Arabidopsis thaliana: one gene and its partner. The protein of the gene in region 2 interacts with the protein of the main gene of each other region in a pairwise test. Each region holds a gene or a part of one and is shown on either strand. Other genes may lie near its edges.

The links.
Region 1: the proteins of JAC1 (region 2) and GRP7 come close enough for resonance energy transfer, tested with the Arabidopsis thaliana proteins (one study listed by BioGRID).

What each region holds. Positions count from the first base shown.
Region 1 is NC_003071.7:9,264,479-9,268,400, forward strand, and holds GRP7 (cold, circadian rhythm, and rna binding 2), read right to left. Parts: upstream 2,080-3,922; 5' UTR 1,839-2,079; coding exon 1,725-1,838; intron 1,416-1,724; coding exon 999-1,415; 3' UTR 606-998; downstream 1-605. Other genes in the region: AT2G21680 (Galactose oxidase/kelch repeat superfamily protein), read left to right, coding at 3,252-3,922. UniProt on the Arabidopsis thaliana protein: Plays a role in RNA transcription or processing during stress. Binds RNAs and DNAs sequence with a preference to single-stranded nucleic acids. Displays strong affinity to poly(U) and poly(G) sequence.
Region 2 is NC_003070.9:28,191,837-28,195,758, forward strand, and holds the start of JAC1 (J-domain protein required for chloroplast accumulation response 1), read right to left. Parts: upstream 2,233-3,922; 5' UTR 1,934-2,232; coding exon 1,524-1,933; intron 1,445-1,523; coding exon 819-1,444; intron 731-818; coding exon 336-730; intron 257-335; coding exon 142-256; intron 65-141; coding exon 15-64; intron 1-14. Other genes in the region: RRA2 (Nucleotide-diphospho-sugar transferase family protein), read right to left, coding at 2,512-3,624, 3,876-3,922. UniProt on the Arabidopsis thaliana protein: Required for chloroplast photorelocation movement; chloroplast accumulation upon low blue light and for chloroplast movement to the bottom of cells in darkness, by modulating chloroplast actin (Cp-actin) filaments distribution, appearance and disappearance.

The DNA of each region.
Region 1 (3,922 bases), on a different chromosome or scaffold from region 2:
CTGATCAAATGTTAATATGTTAAACATCATTAAAAATTAAATTAGAATGTAAAATTTCGCATTAGACTTAATTTGACTCATGTTAAGAAAGTTTCTATATAAATTTAGCGTTAGGCTTATATTAACTCATGTTATGAAAGTTTCTATATAATTGTTTGGATTATGAAATAAGTAAATTATATACTTTGAAAAGAAAAGAATCAACAAAATAAAGTTATTTCATAAATTATATGTTTGGATTATGAGATAAGTAAAATATATATTATGAAATAACTTTAGTTTGTTGATTCTTTTCTTTTCAAAGTATAAATTTGATATGTTTGAGCAAATCCAAAATGAAATTACCAAATAGGAACACATTCGATATGATTATGAAGAAGGGGAGTAGGATACACACGGTCTAAAATAGCTTCATTTTGTTTACAAAGTTCATGAGTTAAATACATTTTCGTCTAAAGGAAGAACAACAACAGTGACTCAATGAGTTAACTTTAAACTGGATCACAGAAATATAGTAGCTTTTGTAACATGCATAAGTTGAGTTGGAAATCTCCATAGCAGTCTAAAATCGAAAATAATCAGTAATTTCAGAGTACTCTTGTTGATGCGAATGAACCAAATAGGTTTCTACTTCATTGTTGAATATCAAAGGTAGTGTGGTGAATGGTATAAAGATAATCAGTAAGTACTTCATTGTTGTATCAGTGATGTAAGTAACTCAATCGTAACAAAGGCACCATTCCGGTATCCGATTAGCATTTCCGAAATTTAGATGATAGAATCAATCAACAGAGATAATATCTCCGAAGAAATTTGTTATTTAGAGAATGACAAGTGACTTAACATTACGTTTCCAGATACCAAAATACCTAATCACGAACTGTTACATCAAATCTAAAGCAGAACCAGAACAAAATAGAGAACACACAAAACCAAGTAGAAGCATAACAAGCGAGAGAGAGAACATTCATTGGTAATCCCAAACCTAATTAAAGGAATTACCATCCTCCACCACCACCGCTTCCTCCGTAACCTCCTCCTTCACCACCACCGTATCCTCCTCCTCCCTCACGTCTTCCACCACCGTAGCTTCCGCCACCACCACCTCTTGAGGAGTAACCGCCGCCGCCGCCGCTGTATCCTCCTCCACCCTCGCGTCTACCGCCGCCACCTCCGTAGCTACCACCTCCACCGGAGTAACCTCCACCACCGCCGCTGCGGTATCCACCGCCACCACCTCCACGGTGGCCTCCGCCGCCACCGCTTCCTCGTGACTGAGCCTCGTTAACAGTGATGCTACGGCCATCGAGATCTTGTCCGTTCATTCCCTCAATCGCATCCTTCATGGCTTTCTCATCCTTGAAGGTGACGAATCCGAATCCCCTTGATCTTCCAGTCTCACGATCGTTAATGATCTGTTATCCAAATAATACAAAAACCAGATCAGCAAAACAATCCAACAAAACTGAACAAAAGCATTTAGATCTACAACAAATATACAAAATACAAAAAAATCCGATCGATCTCCGGGCTCACAGAAGCAGGAAGATGAACGTACCGATTTGGGAAAATACAAGTAACAGTAGTAGTAGTAGTAGTAACAAAGAACGAGAATAGTAACAGAGTAATCGAATCAAGTAACAGAGAAACACAAGATCGGAACAGATCCGTCGAGGATGAGATCATCGATATCACTCGGAGTCCGATCTCGGCGTGTAACAGACCTTGGAATCAATAACGTCGCCGTATTGAGCGAAGGCAGTCTCAAGAGCTCTGTCATCAGTGGCCCATGCTAGACCTCCAACGAAGCACCGATACTCAACATCACCGGACGCCATTGAAATTTGAAAAGAAGATCTAAGGGATTACAGTGAGAGTAGTGAGCAGTGAGATGTGTAGAACGATGTAGACGAAGTCTCGTTATTTATAAGGGGGCTGAGATATTAACCAAGGTTTAGATATTTTCTAGGTTTAGAGTCGGTTTACGTGAATTCTGGTTTAACCATGGTTAAATCTGTAGTTAAAATTCGTAGTGGTTGGGGACATATCACGTGACACTTTTTGGTTTAATGCGCAAATGGAAAGACGACGATGCGAGAAAAGATATTTTATCTTGGGACAAAGAAAAATATCTCAGTGGAGCAAAAAAATATCTCATATGTCAAATGACATCTTTATCCCTTAGTTTGAAATTTGAAATAACGTGGTGATACACAACTGATACTGGGCCGGATCAATTCGGCTAGTCCCTATTTTAGTCGCGATAGTAGTCTAGTATAATTGGGCCTGAACCATTGAGGCAGAAAAATATTAATTTGAGAAAAAGAGAATGTTGACAGTGGGATTTGAACCCACGCCCTTTCGGACCAGAACCTTAATCTGGCGCCTTAGACCAACTCGGCCATATCAACTTTGTTGCTACTTAGTTGCATGCATGTAATTTGAATATAAAACTACTCTCTGTGATTTCAAAAGCTACATTTTTTTTTTGTCGATAAACACTCCATTAAAACCCGTTCCAGGCATACAAACTCACTTCCAAGAGGAGCTGAACAAAGACCAGTAGGTTTACAAAGGATGAAATAAAGCCAAAGGTGTTGTTTACAAAGCACACAACAACCAAGCCAATAAGCAGTACAAGAACATAATTTGGTAAATAACTTAATACAAGGGATTTAAAAAACCTAAAGATAATAAGCATTACACACTGTAAAGCCATCTAATGTATCTTTAGTTAGCCATGTTTGAAGGCATTGTACAGTTTAACATGGTCTCAAGTTCTTCATGTTCCCTTTTAGATATAGTAATCAGAGTCAGATATTGAAAATGTAAGACTCAAAACAGAACACAAGAAACAGAGGATATATGAAGAATAAGAAGAACACATGCGTCTTTAGTTAGCTAGGGTTTTTTGTGAAGTTCTTTCCGTTTGCTTTTCGATATAGTTTCCGAAGAAAACAAAACATATGCAAATTTAAAGTGAATTTATGTTACCAATTACGTAATTTACTTTTCACTTTTTTGTAAAAAAGTAAAAATGAAGTAAGTGAAGAAAAACACAGTAAAGAAGGTAAATGATTTATGTATAAAAAATGCTTCTTTCTTCTACAAATTATTAATTTTTTAATTAAAATGATGAAACATTTTCTAAATTATATAAATATACACAACGGCTTCTTTTCACACATAAATTTCTTTTTAAAAAATCTTGACTTAGACTTTCCGTTAATTCGCTACCAACTCACACGGTGATGGTTTTAATCTCTGAAACTTCCGACGACGGCTCTACTGGCGGCGATCATCAAATCAAGAAACCTAAAAAAGAAGAGGATCGAAACAAGAAATTGAAAGAAAAGGTTCAGGTGTCGCTACCAATTCCAGAAGAACTCATCTTACGTTGCTTCCTACTCGTTCGGAGATGTCACCACCCGTCGCTTTCCCTCGTCTGCAGATCCTTCCATAGTCTCATGTCGAAGCTCTACGATGATCGCTTGCGTCTCGGCTACACCGAAAACGTTCTTTACGCCTACGTTGGATTCCCTCCTGTTGAAAACCCTAGCTGGTACATTCTCCATCGTAAACCCTATCGAAACTTGCCTAACACGATTTCGTTGAAATTGTGCAAAATCGATTCCCTCCCTCCCATGCCTTGGGGATCTACTGTCGTCACTATCGGATCGGATATCTATGTCATTGGTGGACGCGTCGGCGAGAAACTTTTAGAAGATGTAGGCGTAGGCTATAATAAACCCATAAGCGGTGGACGCCGCGGCGAGACATCCATAAGAGGTGGACACGCAGGCGAACGACGCATCTCGGATGTGACTCACATAAACTGCAGATTTCACGAGTATCGCTCCCTCCCGAGTATGAAGATGGCTCGCTGTCGCGCAGCCGCGGGTGTAATTGACGGAAAGATTTA
Region 2 (3,922 bases):
GCGCGTTAAATTACATCGAAATTTACATGGAAGGGCTCATCTATATCCTCTGAGGTAGTATGTGCTGATAGAAAGAAAAGAAAAAAGATGTTATTTAGTTGTGTAGTAATAACAAGATTTAAAAACAATCAAAGAACTTACTTGTGCTAGGTTCTTGTCTCTCTTCTTGTACAGTATCACCAGGAGCCTTATAGTTCATGCTCTCCCGGTCTGAATCTTTTTTCTGAGTTGACTGTGAAGGTTTCTGATCCCGATTCTGCAACGATATTTACAGGTAAGGAATCACAAACCAAGGAACATATAGCAAGTAGGATCTTGATTTTCTGATTAAGTACCATAGCGGGGATATCTGGAGTCGATTTCTTTTGTTGATCAGGAATGTTTACAGTTTCCTTGGCATTAGAACCATCATGAATGATATCAGTCTTGGGAGTTTCTTTAGCTCTCCATCTAGAGCTTTGTCCAAGAGATTCCCCACCTGCTCCAACTGAAGCTCCTTTACTGAAAATCTTAACGAAGTCACTCACTTTTCCTTTGACTCCATCTTTGCCAACTTCTGGTGCTGCTGATGAACTTGCGAAGCTGGATTTATCGGGTATCGGGCTACTATCCAAAGAACTTTTAGTGCCTTGTGATTTCTTCTTGGTTCTTGAATCTTCGGTAAAACTTCGAGTGTTCTTCGCTTTGCTTTTACCTTTTCTCACTTCTCTCTCTGATACTATTTTCTCATCTGCAATGACAAAGAACCAAATGCACAGTCAACAAAAGGAAGTTAACCCAACCAAATGTAACAAATATACATGTCTGCAGAAACCAACCTTGTCTCTCATCTTCTTCATGAAAAATTGAATGAAGAGGCTTCACAGTAGTAGCTTCATGTGCTTTTGACACACCAGAGAAGGCCTGTTCAGACTCAACTGAATCAAGAGGCTTCACATTAGCCTCACGTGCTTTTGAGACACCAAAGAAGGCTTGTTCAGACTTCAAATCTGTTTCTGTTTTCTCTTCTTTTGTCTGGACACCAGGACGCTTTAGCGAGGTCTTCTTCACATCTTTCAAACCAGATAAACCACTTTTTCCATCTCCTTCTTCATTTTTACCCAATTTCTCAACAACTGAAGTTTTTCGATAATCACTCAATGGTACAGGTGTTGTCTCCTCAGCTTTAGACATAGAACTCAATCTAGAGCTTCCCCAAATAACAACAGGAACTCCTTTATTAGGCCACTTGTAGATAGAGAAATGAAATTGCCTTCCTTTCCCAGTAACAAAAACTTGTGGAGGATCATCACAATCATCTGAATATGATTTAGCAGTAGAGACCACATCTGCTTTGCTTGAAGTTCTTGACAAAGGAGAGCTCGAAACAGTTTCTTTGTTCTTGTTCAAACTACGAGTAGCTGCTAAATTAAATGTTGGAATCTCTGTTGCTTTTGCAGGAAGACTGAGTAACAAAGTCAACAATTATACAAATTAGCAACGAAACTTATCTCTTCGTTTAAATTAGTTCAAAGAAAACAGACCTGAATTGGGATGGAGACGAAGTCCCTGAAGAAGATTCGGGTTTGTGAGCCGGGCTAAGGATCCGAGAACCCGGAAGTGATGATGATTCATTAACTCTGAAAATATCGTCGAAGAAATCATCAGTGGTGAAACGACGCCGGACAGATGATGTATCTTCGCCGAATACAGGCTTCTCGTCTTGCGGAAGCAGATCGCCGACGTCGACGATGACGTCACGACGCCGGAGAGCGGATTCACTGAAGCTATGTCGTGTGACTTCGTTACTAGTAACTTTAGAGCGTCTCTTAGGAGGACCACCAAACACGTCACCAAAATCGATGTCCACGTCATCGCCACCGGGACTACGCAACACAGGTGGTGCTGAGTTGGAGCCTAAAAGAACGGTTTCTGAGCTTGGTAATGTCTGCATAGCACAAAGACACAGAATTTGCAATTGCTCCGGAGAGGGAGATACATACAGAGGCTGAAACAAAAGGCTTTAAGAAAAAGACAAAGACAGAGGTAAGAGTGGGGTTCCATTTGATTTGAAACCACAAAAAAATGGGATTTTCCGGTCATTACAGAGAGAAGAATCTTAAAGAGTCTTGTTTGTGGATAAAACCCACATACATCCAAAACTCTTACACTCTCTTTGTCTTCCTTGTTCTTCCATATCTCTCTTTCTTGCCTAATCTCTCGTTTGTTGTCTCTCTCATAATTTTTTTTTGTGGTCAGGAAATAATGCATAGTTAAAAAAAGAGAGACTTTTCTGACTAAATAAGAAACTGTGGTCAACAATACAGTATTGTTAATAAGACTCTTGAGTTTTTCAGCTATAGGCTACACAAGATTCTTAGTAGAGAAGAAGAACTAGGAACCTAAAAGGATAACTGATTATAACAACAGATGTGGGAAGATGAAACTTAGCCTACCTTTTTTCTTAACTCGAGGAAGAAGAAGATGATTGGGTTTTTCGATATCTTGCTTAACAAGCATCCATCTCTTTTATCAATCTGAACCATCGGGAAAGCTATCCAACGCATCTTGTTTGCCATTAACGTAGAACTCTACCACAGCGTGCATTCGTTCGAGTTTATCTGGATGGTAATTGAGATGCACAATCACTGGCTTCAACTTCTTCAGTTCTTGATTCTTTCTCACTGTTTTGAAGAGTACCTTACTGTTCATGAACTCGTACATATCCATGACTCTCTTGGAAGCGTGTAAGCCAGTGTACCCTGGATGCGAAGGGTAAAAGAGTTGCTCGTTGAAAACCGCTTGGTCCCATGCCTCTGACTTAGAGAGTGTATCTGCCACACGATCGAGTAGGTCTATTGAAGGAATAGTTGGTCTTAGATAGAAAAACCCTGAATTGAAAACCCATATCCTCATTGTGTGTGCATACCTAGCCCATCCCATTGATGGTTCATCAAACACATCGTTGAAGCCATAAGCCGTGTTATTGTCGTGACCATCACTCATTGACTCAACATCAGAGTCTCTGTGTAAATGACTAAAAGGATTCTGCAAGAAGACAATGTCCACATCCGATAGAAGAACACTGTAACCAAGCTGCAAGAACTCTCTTAAGACGCGGAACTTCAGTCCGGAAACAGCGTGATTACCTCCGCTTTTTCCAACCATGTCCACTGCTTTATCTGGATCTCGCTTGTAAAACACAACCTCCTTCGATTCGCAGAAACTTTCCATGGAATCATCCAACGCGACAATGAGGTAGTTTTGAATACCAACTCTCTTTACACTAGCAATCTGCAACTCCAACATTGGTTTCACATTTGAATTTGCAAGAACCACAATGATCTCTTTATTGACAGCTACTTTCTCTAAAAGCTTAGCTAATCTCGGGTTAACAGACTCATCAGGAACAACAGTTGGATTAGTTCTCAGACTCTTGACAGTACCAAAAGGCCCTGCCTTTATCTCTGATCCCAAAACTAAGACTTGTTTCCTTGCATTCTCTGTTTCCTGTTCCGCCAACCGTACCTTCTCCGTTAGTTCTCTTACCTGCTTCCTTAACTCTGCGTTCTTTACCGAGATAATTGAAAAGTCTGATTTGAGCATTTTGACTCGTTCAGATGATTCACATGAAGCCAATCCATCCTGAACAATTCAAAAAACAGAGAAAAAAAATGAAACTTCACCAGTTAAACTCAAATGTTCAAGACATGCAATTTGTAGTTCTACTCAAAAATCCATGAAGATTTTGAATCTTCATAACAAACGCAAGAGACTCAAATTCTCAAATTCCAACAAACACTAATTCTAATCACAAATCGAGAGCTCGAGATTACAGAAAAATTTCTAAAAAAAGGAATTTGTAGATGTTTAAAGCATAAGATCTCTCTCAGTACCGTAGAGGTTGATTTCGAAATGCGTTCTTCGTTAGCAATCAAGGATG